4 linked regions of the Tribolium castaneum genome follow. The protein of the gene in region 1 interacts with the protein of each later gene in a biochemical or structural test. Links are inferred from orthologs where the notes say so. Each region holds a gene or a part of one and is shown in the gene's direction. Other genes may lie near its edges.

Region 1 (4,109 bases):
TCCGTGTTATTTAGTGTCAGATGCTGGCCACACGCAGATACCCCCAGGGTCTGTCACGGTTTTGAGTGTTTTTGGAGACGAGGAAGAAGTTAACGCCATCACAGGGACTTTAAGTTTGTTATAATGACTAGAATTCCATTTAATTGTAAGGTTAGGACCACGAAACCCAAGCCCTCTCTGATTAGTGTGAACGCATGTTTTTTTATTTTTAGACCACTTAGATGTAAATTATTTATTTATTTTTAAGAGTTATCTACAGGCTATTCCGCTTAAACTCCATACGAAGTATTGAGAATTCTAATAATTATAATTTTTGGGGAAAAAATTTGCACACAACCGTAATCCGCCTGATAATGAAAATATTTGCAACGTGACGGCACTTCCGGTTACACCGGAAGTCGTTATCAACTTTCTTATATTAAATGAAAAGCTTTGTTTTTTGCTGCATTTTTGGATTACTTGAGCTATTTTGCTTTTCCTATACCTATATTTAATTTTTATTTTAGTATTTAATTTTTTGATTTTCATTTTTGACTTAAAAAATCGTTAACCTTTTGGCTTATTTTAAAGAGAAAGTTTAAATCTTTTTTTTTTGTGTTTTCAAATTTCTAAAAAATATTAGCAAACTCAGATCGAGTTTGCAGAAATTCACACCTATAACTCCAATTTTCAAGTAAAATGTCACAATTTTTATTTGACTAAATGGTTGAGAATTAATTTTTGCATTCATCTTGATTAATATTCCCTATACTTACGTTTAACAGTTTTTAAGTTATACTATGGCACTGAGAAATTAGCCATAGATTTTTTTCGCGATTAAAATTTAATTGCAATTAAAATGTTCTGCAAACCGGCTTTAAGGGCTGGTTTATAGAAAGTTTTACCAAAATCTAATTCGTTGTTAAAAGTTAACGCGAATGGACCAATCACGTTTGTTCAATTTGATCATGTGATCAGTTAATCACGCATTTAATTGCAAATTAAATTAATGACGCTTCAATAAACCAGTCCTAAGAATGGCAGAATTATCGATTTTTGAAGCGATTTAAAAAAAAACTAAAACGGGTTATGGCTGTACTCTCAACTTTGAGATAAATATCATTATGAGAACTTTAATACTTCTAATGTGCGGTTTAGACGGAACATTCTGTATAGTCAAGTGCACAGACGTGTATACGATCCTGAATAAATTTTTGTTGCAAAAAAGTTGTTATTCACTCCAATGGGCCTGAGACTAATCAAATCTGGAGCAACGATCAAAGCCGGGCCTGGGACTAATCAAATCTGGGGCGCGATCAAAGCCGGTCCTGTAAACTCGAAACTAATTTAGTTTTTTTCATGTCTTTGTTGTGGCACCATTCCGACCTGTCAAATATCATCGAAAATTAATCAAACCCGTTTTAATGAAACTCGCCCCTGGAAATCGATGCCCGCATGTGAAACCCCCGCCTGTCCCTATTTAGTAGTTTAAAACCGGTGCCGCGTTATTAAAGTGCGAAGATAGGTTATGTTGTCAGCCTGACATTTGCGTGTGACAATCCAGGACCGGGTTTCCTGTCGGCGGCCGCACCCACCGTATCTAAATCAGTCATCAAACTCCAAACAAGCCGCTTTGGAGGTGTTAAAAGTCCAGTCCGTAGTGTTAAAACCCGCGGCGCGACGCTGCGCATGTGTTTTAGGCGTGATCCCGGCCGGTGTTGCGCCTGTTCCTGTCACAGCTGTCAGTTTGTGGCTGTTTATTAGCGTGTTGTTGGGTGTGTGCGTCGTGCGGCGGTGAAAACGTCCGATTGTCGCGGTGTTCGTTTGCGGAGTCCTGTTCGCCGCCCCCAGTTGGGGCCAGAGTGGTAGGCAACCCCCATGGGCCTGTGCTGAACGGCTTGCCTAGCTGCCGGCGTCGCCGCCCCACAGGCATGGTCTAACGATGGCCGACGAGGAAGTTCTCTTCGACGACGTCTACGATCTCTGCGAGGAGATCGGAAGGTAAGCAGGGGCTGGGGTGGGTCTTTTGGGGGTGGTGGAGCGGCTAAAAGCGTTTGACACGAGGGTGGAACAGAGCCGGAGTCGGCGGTTAGGGTGGAAATCGGTCGGTGAATTGTGGTAATTGGGTGGTGGCAAGCGAGGTTTATTTTTTTTATCGTTATTGAGTTAAAAATACATTATAAACAGCAGGGATTTACCGCCTGGTTTTCCAATAATTCATCAACAAAATACAAATTACATGTTATTTTGTTAAACACGACACTTTAAATTATATTATGTGCGCGTAAAAAGTAGTTATTTGCTCCATAAAAGGACTGACAAAACGAACTTTTTTTACTAAAAATATACAGGGTGAAGTCGGTCAAATTTCCATGGCTAACTTCTTTTCAGGACGAAATATTTTTCGCATGGGAAGGTTGGCTCTGGAATTTTGACACTTGAACTTACGGTAATTGCCAATTGACTTAAGATTTAAATTTAATTGTTTTTGTAGTTATTGACGTCATTTATACCTCTTCTTAAATGGCTAATTAATTGGTTTATTTATATTAATTATTTAACTAAATTAATGTGAAGGACAAAGTTGATTTTAAAACACACCACAGACAACAGTAGCAGTAGATGAATACTAAAATTTTTCTGATTGTGAAAAAAATGGCCGATTTTTTATTGTGTTATGTGATAAGACTAACAATTGCATGAAAAATACATTCTGGAATATTTGTAGTATATGGAAGTTAACAATTATTTTATTAATAAATAATTAATAGTTAAAATAAATGCGTTTGTTCTTTCGGACGCGTTATGGTCTACAATTTTAGATTTTTATTTGTTTATTTTGGGTGCTAGACTATAAATATTTCAGCTTGAAAGTATGTATTTCTTATTTTAAAATCATTTATGTTTTGTTTAATTTCTTATAATCTAGTTAAAGGCTTGCAATTTCAGAAAAAGCACTAACTTTATGTTAAGTACAAGTAACCGTTTTATTTCTTTTTTTAATAACTAAATGTAATTTTTTACGCTTTTTTAATAGCTTTTTGTCCAGATGTAATGGATTTGAGCAAGAGAGTCATTACGGACCTCAAATCAAACATAAAGCAATTACGTTCTTTGTTACACAATTTTATTGTTTCCTAATTGAAGAATTATCATTTCACAATTATTACGTCGAGTTTTTAATTAGATTTCATAGCTTACTACAGCCTGATCTTTTCCCTGAATTAATTCATTTTGAATTTAATTATTTCGGTGTTAGCTACTGAGTTAAAGCAAAATAATACACAATGCAGTTTGAAATTTGTCATTAAATTCTCTAGTTACAAACTGCACGGTTTAGTTCGTTTGATGGGCGAAAATTTCATTGTCGAGAAAGGGATTTAAAAAACTTTTTTGCATAATGCATTTCTGTTTCACATCACAGATCGATGACAGACTGTGGGCTGTCTGTCAGTCAAAAAATTGCTGTGAATTGTTTAACGAGTTTTAAGCCGTTTAGAAAAATTAAATATCAAAGTGACTCACAGCAAATAGCTGATTTCATTGTATATTTGTCGGTTTTACGACGAATGATGCGTTTGTTTAGTTTTTTTTTACTCACTATCCCGGGAAAACTATATTTCTGTTTTTCTTTATTATCTGTTTTATTAGTTTTATTACATGTTTTGCCTCATATTTTTACAATTTATTTCGTCTTCACAGATGACATTTACTAAATAACTACAAAAACAGTGTATTCACCAATGGTTTATGGAGAAGAAATGAGCAAATAAGCAAACGAGAACAGAAAATTCAAAAATCATACGTATAAAAAATTATCTTGAATAGTTTGGAGTAAATACAAGAGTAAAAGAAAATAAAAAGGAAATAATAACAAAGCAATAAAAATTAATGGAAATAAAAGAGAGCAAATGAGCAAATAAGCAAAAGAGGACAGAAAATTCAAAAATCATAAGTATAAAAAATTATCTTGAATAGTTTGGAGTAAATACAAAAGCAAAAGAAAAAAAAGAAAATAATAATAAAGCAATAAAAATTCATGGAATTTGAATGACAGGACAAAACTATAAGGGAATTCACAGCATTATCATTATCTACTCGAATTTCTGTTTTGTAATAAAATATTTTTT
Region 2 (8,132 bases), on another chromosome or scaffold:
AAAAAAAAGTACAAAAGTAAAAGACACAGGAAGAGGTGCTGAGCTATGTAAGATTTTACCGAAAATACTCTCTTTTTTCTATAAATCATAAGATATTTAACTCTAACCATATCACTGTCAGTTACAACAAAGTACTTCTCGGGTATTTCACCCAAACTGTCTTCATTAAGAGATCTTCTTTTGTTTTTGGTGTCTAAAACAAAAGATTTAACCAAGCCCAACGCAACCATCATTTTTACCTCGACATCTGACCTTATCAACATCATTAATTACTTCGCAAATTGCAATCACACTGTGTTTACTGCCTAAACAACTATTGGTCCAAGTTTGACCAAAAGGGGCATAATGTGCACTCACTGATAACTCGTTAGATAAGTAAATTCCATTTCCAAATAAAACCTCCTAAATAAGCAAATTAAGTAATAGAAGTCTCGATTACTGAAAGAAACCTTTTCGATGCTGAAGTGTTGTTGCAAACCAACTTTAAGAATCGAATAAAAATTATCGACAGCACTGCCATGATATGCAAACATTGTCTCCCTCCCATCCTGCCTTTTGAGCCACACTGACTCGTATTTATCGTGATAACAAACTTCAAACACAAATTGGGGCCTGAACACGTTACTAATTTTGCCCGGAAACGGGACATTGGCCTAGAATATTTACACAAATAAAAAGATAACACGATCAGTGACCACTTACATAACTAATCCTTCTAAGTGTGGGATGACCCCTCTCTAAAAACAGCCACATAAGCAATTTTTTTACATCGTGTGAGCATTTATTTGGTTCGTTTAAAATTGTGGTAAGAGGTGGAATGCTATCACAGGTACTTCTCTAAAAACCTAACTCATTAGACTGAAAAGATAATTGGGTTTTTACCAATCCAGTGAAATTCTTTCCCTCTTCATTTACATATGAGGGTGGAAACGGCCTTAAACAACGATCTGACCTGTACGAGTTCAACGCAGAGATGAACAAACACAGGATTAAGTCACAGCCCCAAACATTGTCTTTGATTTCCTTCAGTAATTGGTCTAGTTGCAGTTGCCCCGTTTGCTCGTCTTTATCGGGCGAATATGGGGCAACGAAAGTTATGTCAGAAAAACTCTCATCAGAATCAGTAATTGGCAACAACTTATCTTTACCAAACTCCATTTGTGGTCTTAAATTTTGAGTGCACCCACATTTATCATAATACAGTTCTGAGGCAAGGTCACATTTCAATTAAATCATTGCGGGGATTTCTGCAATTATGCAATTTTTTGTCGAGTTACACGTTGGTCTAACGTGTTGTCAAAGCCTTTATTTACTTATGATGACACCAAACATTGAATTTTGACAAGTGATGACAAGTTCCCACCCGAAAGTTCTCACGCCCGAAGATTTTTTTTTTCATTTCACGCTATTAAAAAAATTGATAACCATTAAAGAATAGCACCAGAGGAGCTCACGGAACAAATTAGCCAGAATAAAGGGAATTTAAGGAAATTTCGAAGAGTTTTGGTGGTTTTGGGAGTGGAATTCATTAGATGTCGCTCAGGTAGCTGCCTAGCTTACCGGTGAATTTGACACTTTGACATTCAGGAGTTGGTGAAAAGTTGTCACACGAAGTCCAGGTGATTTTGCGGCACAAACTTCTCGCAAAGTACGAAATGAGCTTTTTGCGTAACCCGCGAACCCTTCTGGAGGCATCGAAAGCTCCGAAGTAGGTGCAGGTGCAAACTGCACCACTTAGTGCCTTCCAGTCATCGTCTTACATAATATTGTCATATTTTTATTTCAGACAGTTTCGATTAATGTCACAGCTTGGCGATTTAGGGAGCGGGGCTGGGAAAGGGGGCGGCGGCGGCGGCACAATTCGCGAAGCCGGGGGTGCCTTCGGCAAGGCTGAAGCCGCCAAGGAAGAGGAGTATTTCTATAAAAAGGTTAGATGCACCGGCTAATAATAGATTTGTTTATAGTTTTTTTTAAGCAAAGGGAACAGTTATCGAAACTGAAAGACGATTTAAAGAACGAAATTAATTTCCACGAGGAGCAAATCAAGAGACATCAAGATGCGATCAATCGCCACAAGCAGAGAGTCACCGAAATCGACAAGGAGTAATTTCATATTTGAGTTCCACAGCTTGAAAGTAGATTTCTTAGATTGGAAAATATGTTCACGTTTACTGTATGATATAGGTATTATTTTCAAATAAATATTATCGCCTTCACTGTGTGTTTTTCTCAATTGTGTGTGGCACACCATATTTATTTTTTCGATAAAAATGATGGTTACGTAATATTTGTTTAGTGTTTGACACTGCGTACTACGATGCCCTTAAAGGGCCACGATCACAAATTTTTCAAACTGTTAAATTAATAAAATCTTGGACCTTAAGTAAATAGTCGCATTGCGAGCTTTAAAAGTCGTATTGCGTGCTTTAATGTTGCATTGCGAGTTTTAAAGTCGCATTGCGAGCTTTAAAGTCGCATTGCGAGCTTTAAAGTCGATTGCGAGCTTTAAAGTCGATTGCGAGCTTTAAAGTCGATTGCGAGCTTTAAAGTCGATTGCGAGCTTTAAAGTCGATTGCGAGCTTTAAAGTCGCATTGCGAGCTTGTGTGCGGTAGAAACATGAAATAACTCAAAAAACTTGTTACAACGTGTACAAAACACACCCCCAATGTTCCGCAATGACCAGTCTATAGGAAGAAAAAAGGCATAATAATATTGTTTTGTATATGTAAATAAATTTTACGTGGCATAAGTATACAGGGTGATTCAAAAGAGTCAGATCTTTTTTTGGGTAGTGGTAAAAGACATACAACTAAGTTAAAACTTTCTATAACAAAAAGTTATATAAGCCTTTTTTAGGATAGCTTTTTAAAGGTTAGATTCTTGTTTTAAGCACTTAATATCATGTTTTTTTGAAATAATTGGCGGTAATGGCGGCCCTTCAGCATAAAAAATGCAGTGTTGCCATCCGCTGGGTGGCAAATTCGAAATTGGCGCCGGTGTGCGCTTGAGCTGTAAAATGACCGAACCCAGTCGGTAACTCGACAACCCGTAGTTGTATTTCTCATTGATCAGCTAGTACACTGTATGCGTTTGTTGCTTGCTGTGGGGTAACCGTGCCATATTAAGTTACAGAAATAAAAACAAATAGTCGAGTTAATTCGACTAGTAAAAACTGTTTTTAGTGATGTATTTAAGGATATGTTCATTATTATGTTGTGCAATCCTATTTGGATTTGCGACAGCAGCACAGGTAAGTTACAAATGTTCATCATTCCTACTCGTTCGGGGCCTAAACTTGTGTCTTAAATGTTGGAGCTCGTCCGAGCTTTGAGGTTTTTTCTTGGCGAAAGCGCGTCAAAAATATTTATGTTAATGTGCACGAACGCAAATTAATAACAATGACGAGACGCATACGAAAATGTTTACATTGTATCATCTATAATTTCGATTTTCCGGACAGACGGCATTCGCCTTCCAAAAAAATCATCGCTCCTGCAGATGGTATTTTGTTTACGCGCTTTTACTGATTTTAATTTAATGCCAACCTTTAGTCGGCCAAATAAATCATTTTACAAGATCATAAAACTTCTTCCTTTTCTACGGATCGTAAATATCGCCAATATTCCGAAAAATCAATCAGCAAATGGACAAACACAAGGACTTCGTCATTGATAAGCATTTTGCATAATTAATTACTTCTAATGAAACATTCCATTAAAACCGAACGAAGCCTCCTGTTACAACCATTGCAAAACTGAAGAAATATTTTGCTGCATCCCTACCTCATAAATTCCATAAATTAAGCTTGCACTAAGCGTTTTGACAAAGACTGCTTTTTTACGTAACTTAAAATAATCACACTTATAAATTATTTATAATGTAGTAGTAAATGGAAGAAATGATGCGTAAAAACTCGTTTCGAGATGTATATCCATCTTGCTACATTTTGTTTCCATAATTTTTAATTGCAACAATGCTCATTTGAGCGGAATTAGGGATAATTAAATGGAATTACAAATTAGAATTGCATGTTAAACATTTTAATTCCTAACGAAGTGTATTCACTTGAAACGCGCATAAATATTCTTATTTAATTTGGTCGCAGAAAATTATCAGCCTGGAAATGTATATTTAAAATTAACGCAAATTGTGATGCTGTAAAATCTGTCAAAAGAGGTTTTAATGATGTATCGCAAGGGAGATCATAACAACACCCTCTGTTAAGATTTTCACCTTTGTAGGTAATTTACTTATCTCTTCTATTCCACTAATTTGCTTTTGAGAGAAAATGGGGTGAGGTTTGCTAATTCCAGATGTAATATACTGGTGGTTCGTGGTATTTAACTCCGCGATTCATTTTTGCATCTGATTTTCGTGACTAAAGCGAAGAAATTGTTTTCATTTCTATTAATACATCAAGGAGTGTTCTCGTATAGACGTATTTATTCATACAGTCTGATTGAATCAAGGGATACAGTTTTGTGCAAGATTGAAGGTCGCCTTAAATCTGCTTCAGCACATCTGTATCATTTTTGCGGAAAAATACGCAAGGCGGAGGTTTTTCACAAGCACTTGAAACGTATCATGATTTTCGTGAGAATTTCAGTCAATGGAGATTTTACAGCTACCGTAACAGGTCATGTCGTTATTTTATTGATGGGGAACCAAAAATAGCATTAACATGTCTCCGTGCTTTCGGAGAAAACTGAATTGGTCAGTTTGAAAAGTTGGCAAAATCGGGATTTATTTAGTACATAAATTGGCGAATTGGCAGTAGAGCAATTCCAGTTTAATGTGGTGGACGATAAAGCATGCTGTCAGGTTGTAATTTAGTTAAATGAATATTTCATCCTATTTATTCATTTATTAAATCGTAATTAAAACGGACTTAACTGCATGGGATAGTTTATTATCACTTTTATGTCAGACTCCTGTAGTTAGCATTAAGCTTAACAAATTCGATTAGCACCGATAATGCATGATTATTACTAAAATCAGTGTTATCTCATGTCGGGACATTTATTACTAATTCGAGTGTTTCGTGATTATATAATTGTATTAAATATCATTGCTTGAATTTATCATTGGGGTGAAGTTGCCATTAAAAAGAAATCATAATTGCTTACGTAACACATTTACCATTAAAATTGTTTCATTAAAATGGAAGCGTATACGAAGGCTATTTTTGCATCGATGAATATTTTAGCAGTACCGTGTCAATTCAGGCCATAAATAATTCGAATGTGTCCACCCCGTAACAATTAAACTTTTATCAAAATTGAATTGTTTTTAAACAATCCATAATTTGTTAATATTTTTGATTTATGTGATGCGTCCAGAGAGATTCTCCTTTTTGCTCGGTAATGCCCTTGCGAGAGATTAAAGGAACTTTGTGTCGCCGATGACACTAAGACCCCGCGATTTATCATTATTTTTATTGTTCGCTGTATTCCTTTATTATAAATCAAGGACGCTTGTGTTTCCAAGGTAAGGAACAAAAACTTGGTTAGGGTATAAGCAGTGAAGCGCTGTTTATTTGTGAGGTATTTTTGGAAATGGTTACTTTAGTAATGTGCGGGTCGTATGTTTATTGTTTACTTCCAACTTTGCTTTTTGGGTGGTTTTACAAAAATGATCAATACTTCGGTTGCGATGTTACTGTCATTTTAACCACAAAGAGTTTCATTTCCGCTAATGTAAGAAATCCTGCATTGTTACGCCTGTTATTGATACAACGTTGTTGCAGTATCAATCGGATGTTTACTCAGTACAGATAGTCACCTAAGCGAGATGCTTGCCAACAATCTCAATATTTATCGAAAAATTACTAACGATATGATCAAAAATAAGAACAGTTCATCCAAAATAGAAAACAAATGAGTCTCGTTTCCGGCGATTTTTAAGTGACGGAGGTTTTTGAAGCTATCTGTATTGGCGTAGACGGACTTCCCCGTCCACAAAATAATACGAATCGATAGTTTGGCTACTGTTCCCGCCGACTCCGCATTTAATAAACAACATATTTGATAGCAATTCATGTCGTTCGAAGTGTTATTCATCAATGTCATTTTTAACCGAACGAAGCTAAATTGAAATATAGGACTGCAAGTGATAACAAGCAGATTTACCAATAATGGTAATTTGCACAACTGGGTTGTGTTCTTTTTGGTGCTGAGAGTGCTTTGTTGCACTTTGTGTGAATCACTCAGTATACTCTTCCTTTATTACGTCACCGCGAAAATATTACCATGGCAGACTATAGTAAATGCTGCTTTTCCATTAACAACAGGAATAGAGAAACCTCAAAGGAGTCTCTTGAAGGATTTTTAACTGTCATTTTGTGTCTGGGTGGAAAGCTGTTGGAAGTGCCTCGAGCAGCTTATGGAACAGACTTATTATGAAATAAATTTTGAAAAAATACCGCGCTGAAATTACAATCCTGCTGTTGTTGCCAAAATTCACTAAAATGTTGTAACGTTATATTTATTGCCAAAACACCTCGTCCAAATGCCAGTATTTAGCGTCGTTAATTTCCAACAAAAAGGAGAACTAAATATTTTATACGCTGCATGTAGTCAACATTTTGTTAATTTTATTTAAAAGTAAATAATCGTTGCCAGTGAATTATTAATTCGAGTTTGGGAGATATCGATTGTTATTCGGTATGAACTTCATTATTTATAACAACAGTTTTGTAACGAACGTTAAATATAATTACAAATTCATAATAATAAGTACAGTTTGCATTTCAGTTATTTTCGTGTGTTCGATACATGAAACACGAATTTGACAGCTTTAAAACCGGGATGAAAATTTTATAACTTGAAGCAGAAGGATCAAAGGATTTTTTAACTGATTCGTTTGGAATGAATCATCCTTAATTACACTGTCTGTGAATGCACTTTGATATTTGTAAACAACTTCAATGTAGTTTAATTTTTCCAAATACGCACAATGTAGCCTTGAAAATGAAAGTTCAAACAGGACTGCGGCACGGACGGGTTTGCAAAATAAAACTCGGATAAATTAGTTTTTGTTAATTTGCTCAAACTTTTTGAAATAAATTTATTCCGAAGTCCGCATTTGCCCCCGGATGAGTTTTAAATTGTGACCAGAGCGTGCTTGTCGGCTTGTATGAAGTTGTAAAATCTAAATTGACATGGAACATCTTCATACAATCAAAGTGCATTCATTATTTATTTGTTTTGGTTGTGTTTATTCTAATTGCTTTATTTTTCCGAGTTCTGTGTAAATTTATGACGTTTATACTGGACCTTGTTTATCGCAGCAATTTAATAAAATTTTTCTAAGTTTGCTTTTGAATTTGAAGAACGGATGCGGATACTGTTAGTCGTTGACGTAAACGGAAGAAACCTATACCTATTTATAAGTGGGCACCAACCGCATATGTAGCGCATATAGAGACGTAAACACAATGCCATGCTCCTAAAATTCATGTGCATTTATTTTCTTAGAGTGGCTTTGATATTAAAAATATGGCTTGATGATGTCAATGCGAATTCCGCAATTTGGCGTATTTTTTCTAAATTATCTTGCAGAAGTTGTTTATAGCCAGCTTCTCAGAAGTTTATCTGTGAGTATTTTACAGTCCGGCCCATGAATTAAATCATTTGTGTTTTGAATTATTATTTTACACTTTTAACTTCTGATCCCTCAACTATAATTTGATAGCGAATGGCAGAGTTTTTATTTCCAAATAATCGTCCGCGATAAGTTATAAATAATTCTTACAAATTTGTTGTCATTTTTAATTTTAGGTTGTAAGATAAGGCAAATTATTGAATGAATAAAAATTTGCATGTGGATGTCGTAATTTTTGTACGAGGGGTAAGCAAGTACCTGTTGCGTGATTAAAAAGTTAAGTTCCGATTAACTTCCTTTATCTAGCACGGAGTGTCATTTACATATAAATGTGTTATTCTGTGATACCAAGTGAAGTTTCTTGAATTTATTAAATATGTTATACGTGTATGTGATTACTAACGCCGCTGTTTGATGCTTCATATGTTATTCCAGAAAGCGATCGATTTAATTAAGGGACAAATTTAATTTATTTACTGACTGAACTTAAGTTGATTAATATCCATAGTGTTTCGACTCGTTCTCAAAT
Region 3 (7,360 bases), on another chromosome or scaffold:
GTGTTGTACAAAAAATTCGTTAAAAAATTGTGACTATCCCCAAGAAATAATTAATTAAATGAATCTTAAAAATTTAAATAAGTGTAGTTTTGGTTATTTTTTTTTATAATTATGTAGCAGCTTTTAACACATGGTGGAAAACATTTTTAACAATGTCACCTTGTATGTGTTTTTTGTTTGTTTTTGAGTTTGCACCTTCTTTCTAAAACTGAAAACTTTATCATTTTTAATTTTGAAATCATTTTGGGCATTTGGGGAAAGCTTGGGTAGAACTTTTTCTGCTGTTTTCAACTTTTGAAAAAATTTAATTAATTAAGAAGCCCAAACTATTAAAGGTTACGGTCAGTTCAGTTTTTACCAAATCGTTATTCTCTGTTAACATTGTTTTTTTTTTTAATTAAAAATTTGTGACTAAAATTATGTTTACAATCGCTTGATTTTTCGTATTTTTACGAATACGTTTTCTTAGGTCTTACTTGAAGTTTTTTTAAAGATTTAAATGTAAATTTTGTTAAATTTTGACCTAATTTGGTAGAATTTTTAGTTTAGTATTAACTTTTTAAGCACTAAATCATGTTAAACGCCCGAATAAATAAGAGAGTAACATTATTTTCGATACAATCAAGTGAGTTTTAAAAAATTTTGACGAAACTTCCAGTAATAATAACTGAGTGTTGCTAGAAAAACAATGCCTAAGTGCTTGAGAAAGACCAAAATATAATTTCACTTTTTGAACCAGTTCTCGGACATTCTGGTTTTATTTTCGACGAAATAATTGCATTTCTGAGTAAAGTGATGTAATAGCCAATTCATTAAGCCAAGGTTTGCAAAATTGGGATTGAAACTGAGAATTTATGTAAAAATTATGCTTAAATAATCGAAAAATGTTTTTATTTTCAAAATAACGGCGATTTTTTTATTTAGTTTTCGCGAGAATTTTCAAAACAATTGCATTTCATCCTGAAAAATGTACATAATCGCTAGATCAGGACAAAACAATGCAATCGTTATCTCAGTGTTGCGTTTTAAACATAAACATATGACTAAACTAAAAAAAAAACAATAGTAAGACATGCAGTTAATTTTATGATACTGTTAAGAATTGAAATACCGTTTAAACAGTGTTATTTAATTTAACCAACAACACCTTATCTAAAAACATCTTGATCTCTACCTTCTAGATCTGGTTCTGGAATTAAATTACAAAAATGACCAAAATATCAGTTTGATATAATGTTTTATTGATTTTATTTAATGTGTTAATAAATTTACATCAAGCTATTAATAAGCGTTAAATTTTTTTGGCTTAAAAACATTCTAAGATGCTCGAAAAAGTAAAATAACGTAATTGTTGATCCTATTTTGTGATATTTATTTCTTCATTGGATTTTTTTAAATAAACTAATTTTTGTCTGTTTATTTTAAAAGCGAGTTTATATTCCTCTGAAAAAGAGTAAAAATAACACGATTTTTGAATATTTTTGTCAAAATTTTGCGAAATTTTTGATTCTCTGTTACTTTTGAAAATAGTAAAATATCTAAGAAAATTTTTTGTGTATTTTAAAATGTTGGTACTTCAATAAAAATTTTAAAAGGCTGTTCGTTTAACACGTTTACGCACCGCTATTGTTTTAGTGCTATTTATTCATTATTTTTTATTTAAATAAACCGCAAAAGACTCCTTGGAGAGTCATTAATAGAGCAAAAATCTACCACCCTTTGAACTCTATTTACCTCAACTTTGAGTGCAGTGAACCATAAATTCGATACGAAACTAATCTGAAATTCTCGTAGTAAATCGTCAAAGATTGTAACGTATTGTTTGAAAGTTTTTAGATTTATTAAGAGTCAGCTAATGGAGTGAGTGAGTCGTGTGTGTGTGTGTGTTGTTGTTGAGGGTGACTCGGTTAAAAGTTTAAAGGGCAAAGTATGAAACAAAATATGCCATCGGCTTTTGTTTTGTTAATAGGGTTGTTGTTGAGTTCCAACGACCGGTAAATGGAACAATAATTATCTGAGAGTTGTAGATTTTTATAAAGCAAGTTTAATTTTTTACGAATAATTGAAAAAGAATCTATTTACAAACTCATAACTTTTAAAATTTTCTAATTCTGGTAAAGTGCTGCGAGTTTTCGTCGCCTCTCCTCATATCTAAAATTTTCTCACACTCAAACTTTCGAATTTCTCGAGTGTTTGATGAAAGCAGTCGAAAAGTTGCTTGCACTGAAGTAATTTCTTCTGTACTTCCCCTTTAAACTGACGAACTTGGAAACTAGCGCAATTTTTAACCCCGAACTTCGTTTAATTACACAAAGTTGAAGGGCGGAGGTTTGCAAATTACACGTCCATTTAGCCGGAAGAATTCAGTCGTTTCCAATCGATTTTTTTTCCAGGAACATGTGGAACGTTTGGCGAACGGTTCTGGAAGAGAACGAAAAACTGGCAAGGGCTCGATTAGCAGCCGTCGAAGTTTTTCAGCAGCAGATAGCAGACGACGCGAAAATTTTAAGGGTGCATAAGCTCCAAGCAGCGAAAAAAGTGAGAGGGTGTTAAAAGGTAAGGATAATTTTTACAGTATTTTTTTCTTGCAGTGTTTGGATCAGTTGGCTCTCGTACAAAAGGAGTTACAAGGATGTGTACAAGAAGTGGACAAGACGAAAAAAATGTACTTTGATGAGGAACACAGTGCTCATGGGGTCAGGGACAAGGCGAGAGACATCGAAGAAAAGTAAGTGATTTTTTTTAATAATGAAGCGTCTGACTACATTAAAAATGATTTCCCGTCCCAGTTTATGAATTTATGGAAGCGCCGCGTCCGCTTGGCCATACTTTAATTAAACATAATCTATAAATGGCTTAAGTCGAGTCGGGATAATAAATTCGTGACTCGGTTTAATTTTGCACGTCACCCGAAGGGATAGCGGTGTTATCCGGGAGATGAAGGATAAAAACTTTGGACGGATTTATTACAAGTTTTAAACGTCGAATATTTTTTCAAAGAACGTTTATATTGAACGTTTTTAATTAATTTTCTGTGTATTTATTAGGGAGAGCTGCAGCAACAATTAGCTTTTGTGTTAAGATACGACATTGTCGAGCTGGAGTATAATAATAATTCGTATTCTCAGAGGACTGAAATGCAGTCACGTGACTTAATCAACATGCAAGCCGAAAGGCCTATTAGACAAGCCGCGTTTAACACAATTGTAGCTTTATTTTGATTATCTCATCCAAATAAGCGAATAATGAATTAATGAGTAATTTCAGATTAATGTAATTAATTTAATTAATAAAAAATCAATTGCAGACTATTTTAAAATGCGGTTGTTTTGTGATTTTATAAAACATGCTCTTAAATCAATTACGAGGGGTTTCAGTAATTCACGAAAACGTATTTAGTAGCAAAAGAGGTTCCAAAAATCATAACAATATTTAATTCTTTAAATATTTCAATGTCAGTTTTACAGCTTTTTTACCTTTTCAAACTTTTATTGTTTTGTCTTCCCACTTTCGCCTTTTGTTTTTTAGCTACTTAGAATGCCATTTTTCCAATTTATTATTTTTTTTAATTTTTTGTACAATAATTTTCAAGTTTCTTAGGCTTTCAGTCGTAGTTTACTTTCATATTGTCACTCTTTCAGTTTCTCAGATTTTAATTTTTTGGAATGTCAGGTTTTTACTTTAATTTTTCTACTTCTTACATTTATATTTTTATAGTTTATGAGTTTTTTTATTGTATTAATCTTTTTTTTAAGTTCCACTGCGTCTGTTTCACAATTTTACAGTTTCTCCCACTTTTCTCAGACATTTAGTTTCTCAATTCTAAGTTTTTAAAAATGTCTTCATTTTTGAGTCTTAGTATTTATTTGCCTACACAATGTTTTAGTTTCTCAGTCGTTGATTTTTTGAGATTTTGTAATTTTCATGTCTAGAGAATTTTTGTTTTTTAGTGTACGAGTTTTTTAATCTTTTATAGTTTTTCAGTGCTTTTCGTATTTTTAGATATATTTTTTTAGTATTTTAGTCTCTTAATCTTTAGTCACTTTAACTACTTAGAAAGTGAGATTTTTAATTTCTGTTTTTTTATTTTTTGTTCTTGTTTTTTTGTCTTATTCTTTCACTTTGAATTTTTACTATTTCTTGTCAGTTATGTTTAATTTTTTAAGTTTTTATTTTGAGGTTCTACATTTTTCTTAATTTTTTGCTCTTTTAGTTCTTTGGTTATTTATCAAACTTGCAATCGTATTGTTTTTTAGTTTTTTAGTGTTTCAAGTTTTCACTATATAGGTTTTTTGAATTGACTTTTTATTTAAAAGTGTTTATTAGTAGTTTCGTTAATTTATTTCTCAGTGTTTTAGCTTTTCAGTTCGTAAGTTTTTCAAGTCAGCTTTTTAATTTTAAATTGATTTTAAGTTGATATTTCAGAGGTCAGTGTTTAAACTTGCTAGTTTCTAAAATTTTTAGTTTTTCTATTAGTATCATATAGCTAGCTACTCAATATATCATTTAGTTTTTATTATTTATTTTTTTCGTTTTTCACACATCTAAAGATTTTTCGTCTTTTATTTATAGTTTTAAGATCAATTTCTCATTAATTCTGAGTATTTCATAGTTTACTTTTGATAATATTTAAGTCATTCAGTTCTCCAGTTTTTTAGTTTTTCATTCTCTAATTATTGTTTTAACGGATTTTTTGTCACTTTTGAGTCTTTTATCATTATTTCATTTTTTTAGAATCTTAATTTCTCAGAGTATTTAAATCTTTATCTTAATATTTTTGTATTTTATTTTACGTTTTTTATTTTCTTAATAGTTGTGTTTTTTTTCAGCCTCAACTTTTTAGCCTCTTAATCCATAGTCACTTTAACTATTTAGATAGTGGGATTTTTAATTTATTATTTTTTTTAATTTTTTGTTCTTGTTTTTTGTCATATTCTTTCACTTTGAATTTTTAAGTTTTTTACTATTTTATGTCAGTTATGTTTAATTTTTTAAGTTTTTATTTTGAGGTTCTTAGCTTATCATTTTTTTCAGTTACGTACTGCTCACTTTCTTATTTTTTCAGACTTTCAGTTCTACAGTGTCTTACTTTCTTGTTTTCTTAGTATTTGGATTTTTTATTTTTTCAGTTTTTCAGTTTTTAAGTCTTTCAGTCTCTTAGTTTCTTATTAATTCTGAATATTATTCAATTTTTAATGGTAAATCTAGTTCAATCAGTCTTTGAATTTGGTTTATGAGTATTTGAGTCTTTCAGATTTTTAGCTTCTTAGTAGGTATTTCAGCTTTTCAGTCATTTAGAGCAGTTTTTGTTATTTTCCAGATCTAACTTTTGTCTTTCATTCTTTTTTAAGTCTTCTTTCTAGATTTGTCTATTTTTGTATTCCAGTTAAATTCTGTTTGTAGGTAGTTTGTAGTTTTTCAGTCTTCCACGTTTTTATTTTTTTATATTTCTAGTTTTTCAGTGTTTTAAGGTGATTGATTATTAGTTTTTCTGGAGGTATTAACGTTTCATTAATTAATTGTTATCTACCGAGAATATCAGTTTTAAAATTTATTATTATTTTTTAACATTCAGTTAAAGCTGAAGATTTAAAAAGTTAAGTCGAATGAAATTATGACGAAACCAAAGATTTAATTTTCTTGGCAATTGCGTTGTGTCTGTTGATTTTATTGTCAAACCTATCATTTATTTCAGACTCAAAAAGAAGAAGGGCGGTTTCTTCACCTCAATCACCTCCTTGCAGAAAAACAGTGCAAAATACTCAACAAAACGCGAACAACTCGACGAAAAATCGACGGGCGCCCGCAACGACTACCTCCTGTGCCTGGCGGCTGCAAACGCCCATCAAAATCGCTACTTTGTCGTCGATTTACAACAATGTATGTCGACGATGGAAAGCGGCGTCTACGAAAAAGTCGCCGAATATCTTTTTCTGATGGGACGCACTGAACTTCTCACCTGCTCGGCGATGCAAAACTCCTTCACAATCATCCGAGATCAAGCCAAACAACTAACCAGAGATTATAATATTCAATGCTGTTACTTGTACTATCCCGTTCTTAAACAGCACATACAATATCCTTTCGAACCGTGTGACAACGATCCTATTGAAACCATCACAGCAGAACATGATTCAGCGGCCGCTACCTTGAGCAAAGAGGCCAGAAGGTGGGCCACGAGGATAGCAAGGGAGAATAACGTGATCAGGGAGAGCACCAGGAAGTTGCAGATTTATAGCGCGCTCAGGGAGTCGGGGCAAAAGGTAAGAAATAAAAACACATTTTTTATTTCGTTTTATCTATTTCAAAGTCTTATTACACGTTTTTAAAAATAAAAGTTCCTTTAATATCAAAGAAAAATACAACGTGTCTCAGCTAAGACTTTCGAGCTTAATATCTCCGTTATTTGTCAACGGATTGTTATGAAATTTAGAATGCACATATTTTAGGACAATTAGGGTCAAAAAATGACCTTAAGTTAAAAAATGAAATTTTTAAACACATTTCTTTTATTTAAAATTAAGCCAAATTACCGGTGGATCATTAAACCCCGAAAAATAAATGGCCACACAAAAAATTAACCAAATCGCTCGGCTGATCCAAGAAAAAAATTAAATTTTGTTGTTAAAAACTTAATCCAAATTTTGATAGTAATTTGGGCAGTCACCTTTTGAAACAATTGATGAAACATTTCTATGCGGCATTCTGTGTACCACTGAAAAAAACTATCAAAAGTGTGGCGCTGTCAGAAAAGTAAAATTGTTTTAATTTGGTGAAATTACTTTAAAAACCAAAAACAGTGGCTGAAATTTCTGTGTCCTAAGTCCTAAAGTCCCAATAAAACGTAAAACAGCAAAATAATGTCATTTTACGCCAAATTTCGTGATGTTTGGACCCGTGAAAAAACTGCGTTTTTATTTCAAAAATGTACTTAAACACTCGAACAAATGCAAAAATTGATCCATTTTCTAACTAATTTAGCTCAAACATTTTTCAATACGTTAAAAAAGGCTAATATAACCATTTTCAGTACAAGTTAGTTGGCGATTTCTTGGCATATTTTTGATTAAATTTCTCAAAATTTTTGGTTTTTTAGCCGAAAGACGTACTAAAACATTACGAAAGAGGCAAAAATTTGCCCATTTTTAACCTGTTTTAGCGATGTTTTAGCCCAGTTTAGCAAAATTTAGTGAAAAAAACTGCCTTTTTAATTTAAAAATGTACATAAACACTCGAACAAATGCAAAAATTGATTCATTTCCTAACTAATTTAGCTCAGAAACATGCTTAAATACATCAAAAAAGGCCAATAGAACTATTTTCAATACAATTAGTTGTCGATTTCTTGGCATATTTTTGA
Region 4 (8,142 bases), on another chromosome or scaffold:
TCAAGACGATTTTTTTAAGTTTTTTTTTCTAAATAAACTAACTTACAAATTAATTACAATTATAAAAATACATCATGCTATTAACAATTGTACAAATGCATACTAATTGTCGCCGTAAATAAATTTAATTCCTTGTTAAAAGCTAACAACGCGAATGGACTAATCAAATTACATTTAATTTCAGATTAACTTAATGACGCTTCTATAAACCGACCCTTAGCCCGATTTATACAAGCGTCATTAATTTCGCAATTAAACTGATCACGTGACCAAATTGAACAAATGTAATTGGTCCATTCGCGTTGTTAAGTTTCAACAACAATTTAAATTTCAGCAACGCTTTCTATAAATCGGTTCTATGTTTTATTGCCGTAGGTCACTTCACTCTCACTTTAGCAATTAACTTATTTTTAACTTTTGTTGATATTTCATTCTTTATTTTATTTTTGTTTTTTAACTTGAAGGTAATTATATTTTCCAAGAAATAAGAAAAACAAATTTGTGGCAATTGAGATAAGCTGCTACCAAGTTTTTCACTAAAATTTTGATTCAGGGAAGCATTAAGAAAAGCCGTTTAACACAAAACAAAATAAACAATGTTTATTTATTGTCTGCTTTCAAATTTAAACTAACCATTCACATCAAATTAGTGAATGACTATTTAAAATGATTGGTTTCTCACTTTATATTATAATGGCCGACCTGAAATGGACCAATCAGATTCAAAAATACAATTTTTCAATGAATCAAAAAATTTGAAGTGATTGGTTTTCTCCAAAATTCTAATGGCCGACCTCAAACGGCCCAATCAAAGTGCTTACAAATCTTACAATCACTTTACGTTAATTCATAAATTGATTAAGTCTGTCTTTGTTTATGTTGCGTCTCTCTCATCTTCAATTTTTCTACCCCATGGACGATTTGTTACATGAAAAACACCATAATTGGAACAAGGAGATGAAATAAAGAAGGAATATTGAACTGAAACAAAAAGTCGGTGGAAGTTGTCCTAATTTAATTTAAATCAGGATTTTTAAGTTCTGTATTCTGTATGGTTGGTGCCACTGATTTAACGCTGTCAAAAATGAGATAACCTCACTTAAACAATGCCGAAACGAAAAGTAGCTTTTATTCACCCTGATTTGGGAATAGGGGGTGCGGAACGGTTAGTTTTAGACGTCGCGAGTGCCTTATCTAAACAAGGAAACGAAATAATTCTTCTAACCAACCATTTCGACAAAAACCACGCTTTTGAGGAGCTCAAGAATGGGGAGTTCCCCGTTCAAGTGTACGGCGACTGGCTTCCGAGACACCTCTTCGGAAGGTTCCAAGCACTGTGCGCTTACATCAGAATGATTTATTTAACACTAGTCTACGCAATTTTCTACCGTACCACTCAAAAGCCTGACGTGTACTTTGTGGACTTAATCCCTATGGCTGTGCCAATTTTGAAATTATTCGGCGAAAAAGTTATCTATTATTGTCACCACCCGGACTTGCTCGCCAGTGCGCCAGGGGGGGCCTTAAAAAATTTCTACAGGAAGCCCATAAACTGGTTGGAGTTAAAGTCCACAGCTCGGGCTGATATCATTCTAGTGAATAGTGAGTACACGGCTTCGGTCTTCCGGGAGACTTTCCCCCAAATCACAAAGACTGTACAAGTGGTGTACCCCACAGTGGCCTCCTCGTTCTTAGAAGCCGTCAAAAACACCAAAAACCCCAGACCAATCCACCAAATAATCCCAGAAATACCCCAAAACGCCGCCTGTGTCTTCCTCTCCATCAACCGCTTCCATCCCGCCAAGAAACTGGACTTGGCCATCAATGCGATGGAAATTTTGCAAAGAATCACCTCGGAAAATGAACGTAAAGGCATTTTCTTGGTTATGGCCGGGGGCTACGACCCCCAATCGTCCATAAACGCCAGTTATTTCACCGACTTGGAGAAACTCGTCGCTGAGAAGGGGCTCCAAGACAAGATTATTTTCCTCAAGTCGCCCCCCGATGACGTCAAGACGGAACTTCTGATGGCGTGTGACTGCCTCGTTTACACGCCCGTGAAGGAGCACTTCGGCATTGTCCCCCTCGAGGCAATGACGGTGGCTAAGCCCGTCATTGCGTGCAACAGTGGGGGCCCCCGAGAGACAGTCGACCACGGAAACACGGGCTATTTATGCGAACCGACCCCCGACAGTTTAGCGCAATTCATGTACAGGATATTCAAGTCGGATAACAAGGCAATGGGGCTCAAGGGGCGCAAAGTGTTGCAGGAGAAATTCTCAAATGAGAGTTTTGCAAGGAATTTGAAGAAAATCCTTGATCACACTAGTGTAAATAAGAAGTTTATTTAAATAAATATTTTACTTAGTCCAAGAGACCTTAGGTATGTCAAAGTGTTCCGTGAGCCCGTCCAAGTGTTGGTTGAATTTTTCTACTCTTTCTTTGTGTGTCATTGACGCTTTTTCCAAGATGCGTTGAGTTTGCTGCAAATTGTAACAATCAGGCAACAAATTTAACACGAAATGTGATTTATTTACCATTTTTTCTTGCTGTTTTAAGAACGCAAGTTCGGCTTTTGTTTTTTGCCTCGCAGGCTTTGATTCCGGTGTCTCACTTTCGACAATTTTGCTCACTTGCTCTAACAACTTCTTATCTTTCTTCTTCTTTTTCTTTTTAATGCTGTTATCACCTTTTAATTGCAATTTTCCCTTGCAAACTTGTGCGTATGGGTCGTCACTTTGCCCCATCTTGTTTGTTTTGACGTTTCTGGAATTTTTCACACAACAACCAACGTAACGGATCGACAATCCCCAAGAATGAGGTTATGAAATTTCCTCACAAAAAATGTTTTTTTCTAAAAATAAGCCCGGCCGCGGTTACCACAGATGATGAGTTTTATTATCAACGTAATTAAAGATTTGTTGCATAAGATGTTACAATTTCTGTCATTTAGTAGAAAAACGCTGAGCAATAATTTGAGTATTTACATAAAAACCAACACAGGGAATACGCTTTCGGTCGATTTGGACCCCACCTGGGACATAAAAGAGGTGAAAGAGTTCGTTGCGCCCCAATTGGGACTGAAACCAGGCGAGGTAAAGATTATTTTCGCTGGAAAAGAGCTGGGAGACAACATTAGTATTTCTGTGAGTTTTGCCCTCAATACCACTAGTCGTAACCAGTTAGTCATTCTAGGAATGTGATTTGGGCCAACAAAGCACCCTCCACGCTATCAAAATCACCAAAAAGCCCAACCCTCCCACTTTAAACAATGCCGTAATTGAGGAAAGTGACGAGGGCAAACCTCTGTGTGAGACCTTATCAGATTTGAGTTTTTCAAACGATGATTACGAGGAAGGGCCCACCGAGCAACGCAAAGTCCACTTTTTTGTCTATTGCCCCACGTGTAAAGCCCTCAAAAATGGGAAATTGCGAGTTCGGTGCCACTTTTGCAAATCGGGGGCTTTCACGGTGCACTCAGACCCCCAAAACTGGAATGATGTGCTGCAGCCAAAGCAGATAACCGGCCTTTGTGAGAATAGCCCCGAATTGTGCGCCAACGTACGTTTTTTAATTATTTAATTGAAATTAGTCAAAAACACTCCACACTAAAAATAGTACTGGACAAAATTTAATTTTCCTTTAAAATGTTTATAGTCAAAATATTTAAAGTTAAAAATATTTACGCTTACTAAGGAGCATTGCGAAAATTTTTAAAATGTTTGCAATCGTAATGTCCGCTCACCTAACTAGAAGCAGCAGATTCATTAACACCATAAGAGCGAGCTAAACCGAAATTCTGGTACAGGGAAATCAATGTTAATTTTAAAAACTAAAAGTCGCTGAAGACAATTAAAAACAATATACGCCAAAATATTTTCAGATACTTTTTTAAATTTCTTTTTCTATCATAAAGTTAAAATTTTCTACAGTTACCAAATTTATTGAATGTAAATCTAAATTTGAAATTTGGGTTACTACTGAGGGTCTCTATAACATTTTTAGAAAATGTGTTCCAGCTATAAATCAGGTATCTAGCCCAGTCAAGTTAGACCAGACAAGAATTGGGCGGTTGGTGGCAAAAATTCCTAGTGAGTTGGAATTTTTTAAACGCGTTCTTTAGATAGACAGATATTAAAAATCCCAGAGGATGGAGGCTGAGCTCGAGATGGGGGAGAGGGTTAAGTGTGTCATTTTTCGTTTTATTTCTTATACCACGGAAACAATCATTGTCGGTTTTCACCTTCTTACAAAAATTAAAGCTGATGAAATTTCCTACAAAAATTGGTCCTATGCACTTTTGTTATAGGACTACCCGTAAGCGAGTTATAGGACTGAAAAGAAATAATTATTTAAAAAAAATCTGCTTCAAAGTAGAATGTCTTGTGACTTGAAAAAATCCAAATTTTACAACTGTTTCAAATTGAAATGATGAAATCTCTAGTATTGTGTAAAAATTGTTATAATAAAAATTTTTTAAACGTCCTTGACTGATTGATTTTAAAAAAATTCACGACGATAAGACCAAGTTCCTTAAAAAGTTTAGTTAAAAGTTAATGTAATAAACATCATCAGGCTTTTTACTCGTTCAAATTCTTGGAAGTAAACATTAAAAGATGGAATTAACAATGACTTAATGACAACAACACATGCACACACCACCGCCTTTTGACACCAGTTGGTGTCTTAAAGTGAACAAGACAGCGTTTTAAAAATGGTGGATGCGCCGGGAGAAATTATCAAATTAAACATTTCCAAATACTACTTTGAATAACTTTAGTCAAAAATGTACAAGTGTACAGAAAATATAAGAAAAACAAGTGTAAAACAATTTACTATTAACAAACTGCAAATTAAAAAAATGGTGGATGCGCCGGAAAAATTAATCAATATTCAAAAAAAATAAAAATAGATGTTTGTTGTTATTTTCTGACAAATGTATACATGTTTAAAATACTTTTTTATCAAACATTAACGCAAGTAGAGCAAACTGACATGAAATAAGGCAGTGGTATTTTGACAATTTATTGAAATAACGTTATGAAACGTAAGTTTTATGGGAATTTTTGAATGTAATCATTTCTGGACAAAGACATGACTCTAGAGGCAAAACGGCTCATTTATCAGCGTTTATCAGCAAAACATTTCTATCTTAGTGACCTCTATAACACCGTAAAGTTTGGCAACATCATTTTGAACGCTGTATAAGGAAGAGAAAATTATGTAAAAATAAGTAAGAATCGCTCCATAATCAAAACGACACACAAGAATAATAGTTTAGATTTTTTATTAGATTACAATATTAATAATAAATTATAAACAAAGACAATTGGATTACCATAACTTTTCAATTCTCCTTTTTTACCTGCTTTTTTTTCTATCTTTGTACCTGTCTTAAATCATTTCTTTTAATTAAGTGTCAATAGAAATTACTAGTAGGTAGCACATAAGTAGGTAAATTTAATTTTTAATTCTTTTAATATTACCTTTTTTGAGATAAAAATGTATTCAACGGGAATCTACTAAAGCGCTACAATAATATTTTGTTTGTGCGTGAGATGCGTACAAAAGCAAAGATAGACAGTTTCGTTTGGTAACAGAAAATACTTGATCGATTTAACGACCTTCGCTAGAAATATTTTAGTTTAGCTTGCTCTTAAAACACAAATTAAGAACGACTATGATGAACACGGTAAAAACGACGTTAAATAAAAATATTTTTTTAACACATGTTTTGAATTCAAATTTGATAAAACCGCTACCTATACCCTGGAAAATCTATTATTTCGAAAATCTATTAAATTAAAATTTTTAATTAATAATTCCTGCAGGTTCTGAACAACAAAGAACCGACTTTCGCCGAATTTTATTTCAAATGCTCGGAGCACACGTCCCTTGGAGAGACCGACGAGGCTGTTCCCCTCTATCTAATTCGTCCAAATTTAAAAGAAGTGCCTTGTCTAGCGTGCGCTGACATAAAGTAAACGCGAAAATAACTCCTAGCGTGAAAATAACCAATAAAATTTTAGCGAAACCGTGTTCGTCTTTCCATGTAAAGAGGGCCACGTTACTTGCCTCGACTGTTTCCGCCAGTACTGCACGACACGGCTGCGGGAACGCCAATTCTGGCAACACCCCGAGTTTGGCTACACGCTAGCGTGCCCCGCTGGCTGTCCCGACTCCTTCATCCAGGAGATCCACCATTTTCGCCTCCTGTCAGAGAGTCAAGTGAGCTCTGCTTCAAGCCCGTTTAATAGCGCGGACTAATTTTTTTATAGTACACACAATATCAGAGATTTGCGACTGAAGAGTATGTGTTGCGCTCCGGTGGGGTGCTCTGCCCCCAGCCGGGCTGCGGCATGGGCATACTGGCGGACCCCGAGTGCACCAAAATCACGTGCATCAACGGCTGCGGCTACGTTTTCTGCCGCCTGTGCCTCCAGGGGTTCCACATTGGGGAGTGCGAAGCGCCCGAAGGGGACGTGGGGGCCCCGGGGGATTGTTCGTACAATGTGGACCCCACAAGAGCCGCGGAAGCCCGTTGGGACGAAGCTTCGAAAGTTGCGATTAAAGTCTTGACAAAGCCCTGTCCCAAATGTCGCACCCCCACTGAACGAGATGGTTAGTATTTTTTTTTTTGTAATTTGCTTCAATTTTGTGGTGTTATAAAACTATAAGCAAAAATTAAATTTCTTTAAAGAAATATTTTTTTTGTTGGTAAGTAACATTTTAAGCCTTTATTTTTAATATCTTAATCCTAGATATATAAACACTATTTTAAAACACGTTTCCCATAGTAACGTGTTTTCACTATTTTAAAACACACTTCCCATAACAACGTGTTTTAAATTAAAATGTTCCAACAAAAAAATTGGAATAACACTTATTCAAAAACGTTCTCGAGTGTCTAGGTATAGAACTCGCATATGCTCGTTGCATAACGACAGCCCTCGACCTTTAAACTTGTGTTTTCGCACTCTTATTATTAATAACTTTTCTATTCATGTGTTCTAAGCACGTTTGAGTCGAGGTTTAACTGCAAAAATTTTTAATTATTTCGCTAGATTGTTTGTTTTTGAAAAAAATAGTCTAATAAATAACACAATATTGTCAAAAATAGATTATTACACAAATGTGAAAATATTTTTGTTTGTAATTTGCCACACTGTAACCGAATTTTTTTCTTGACAATCATTTTATGAACATCCCCACAATATTGTTGAATTTTTGGTAACTGGAAACGTACTCTATTCAGTGTTGCCACTGAGTCATTTTTTCTGAATTTTTTAGTCTGTGTAAGAAAATATAACTTTTAGCACAAATTAATAAAAATTAAGATTGGTCAATTTTTACGCGACTTTGTTAATGTAAAGTGTAAACGAGCTAAAAAAAAACTTCGTTATGTACTTATGTAGGAGTAAGAATTTATCGAATTAAATTTTTTAACTTCACATTTTCCAAAAAATGATTACTTATTTTCAAATGGGAAAGTTCAGACAATTCATTGTTTATAAACGAGAAAATTTTTATAAAACAGAGTGAAAACGTCTTATTCTTACTCAAAAAACGGTTGATACACTAGTTTGGAAGAAAACGATTCATTTTGGACAATTCCTTGCTTAAAAACGTGGAAACTCATAGAACAGATTGAAAACGCCTTATTCTATACAGGGTTATAGAAATAAATTAGTTTGGCTTTGGTGTTACTAGAATCTAAAAGCCTATCTTCTTTAGAAATGTTTTTGTCTCTTGTAATTTTTTTGTAAAATGTCCCATTATCGAGTAAAAGACATCCGAGTACTACCTTGCGAGACATTCTGTCTGTGCAAAATTACTTTCATTATCATCCATATCATAATTTTAAATCGGTTTGTCAACTTCAAAATTAAGACACCAATCGTCACAGAAATTCCTAAATCGATTAAAGAAAAAAAATTGTGTCAAAACGGCAAAAAGAGGGCAAATTACAAAAAAAAATATATCAAAAAACTCGTTTCATTAGACCTTAAAAGCATTGATTCTTTAAAATAACTCGTGGTTACGCTACTCGTTTTTGAAACTGAATTCAAGTGCTTCAAGACTGGTCTTATGAAACTTGTTTGTTAATGTACTATATTTCTTTTAGTGAAGTATTCGAATTGG

The links.
Region 2: the proteins of CASK (region 1) and Sdc form a complex in vitro, tested with the Homo sapiens proteins (2 studies listed by BioGRID and IntAct, with this or other methods). The link is inferred for Tribolium castaneum from reciprocal best matches to the Homo sapiens genes CASK and SDC2.
Region 3: the proteins of CASK (region 1) and nwk form a complex in vitro, tested with the Homo sapiens proteins (2 studies listed by BioGRID and IntAct, with this or other methods). The link is inferred for Tribolium castaneum from reciprocal best matches to the Homo sapiens genes CASK and FCHSD2.
Region 4: the proteins of CASK (region 1) and park form a complex in vitro, tested with the Homo sapiens proteins (2 studies listed by BioGRID and IntAct, with this or other methods). The link is inferred for Tribolium castaneum from reciprocal best matches to the Homo sapiens genes CASK and PRKN.

Annotation. Positions count from the first base shown.
Region 1 is NC_087400.1:7,166,348-7,170,456, reverse strand, and holds the start of CASK (peripheral plasma membrane protein CASK), read left to right. Parts: upstream 1-1,309; 5' UTR 1,310-1,921; coding exon 1,922-1,980; intron 1,981-4,109. Other genes in the region: probable peptidyl-tRNA hydrolase 2, read left to right, coding at 1-124. UniProt on the Homo sapiens protein: Multidomain scaffolding Mg(2+)-independent protein kinase that catalyzes the phosphotransfer from ATP to proteins such as NRXN1, and plays a role in synaptic transmembrane protein anchoring and ion channel trafficking.
Region 2 is NC_087403.1:6,249,381-6,257,512, forward strand, and holds the start of Sdc (syndecan), read left to right. Parts: upstream 1-3,048; 5' UTR 3,049-3,185; coding exon 3,186-3,251; intron 3,252-8,132. Other genes in the region: protein mono-ADP-ribosyltransferase PARP16, read right to left, coding at 1-193, 240-402, 450-653, 703-837, 883-1,158; ATPase inhibitor mai-2, mitochondrial, read left to right, coding at 1,656-1,708, 1,787-1,928, 1,976-2,107. UniProt on the Homo sapiens protein: Cell surface proteoglycan which regulates dendritic arbor morphogenesis.
Region 3 is NC_087394.1:5,014,590-5,021,949, reverse strand, and holds part of nwk (protein nervous wreck), read left to right. Parts: intron 1-2,393; coding exon 2,394-2,538; intron 2,539-2,591; coding exon 2,592-2,728; intron 2,729-5,695; coding exon 5,696-6,263; intron 6,264-7,360. UniProt on the Homo sapiens protein: Adapter protein that plays a role in endocytosis via clathrin-coated pits. Contributes to the internalization of cell surface receptors, such as integrin ITGB1 and transferrin receptor.
Region 4 is NC_087398.1:11,669,878-11,678,019, reverse strand, and holds the start of park (E3 ubiquitin-protein ligase parkin), read left to right. Parts: upstream 1-2,885; coding exon 2,886-3,146; intron 3,147-3,195; coding exon 3,196-3,561; intron 3,562-5,831; coding exon 5,832-5,980; intron 5,981-6,029; coding exon 6,030-6,228; intron 6,229-6,278; coding exon 6,279-6,621; intron 6,622-8,142. Other genes in the region: alpha-1,3/1,6-mannosyltransferase ALG2, read left to right, coding at 1,107-2,351; protein FAM32A, read right to left, coding at 2,361-2,483, 2,538-2,747. UniProt on the Homo sapiens protein: Functions within a multiprotein E3 ubiquitin ligase complex, catalyzing the covalent attachment of ubiquitin moieties onto substrate proteins. Substrates include SYT11 and VDAC1.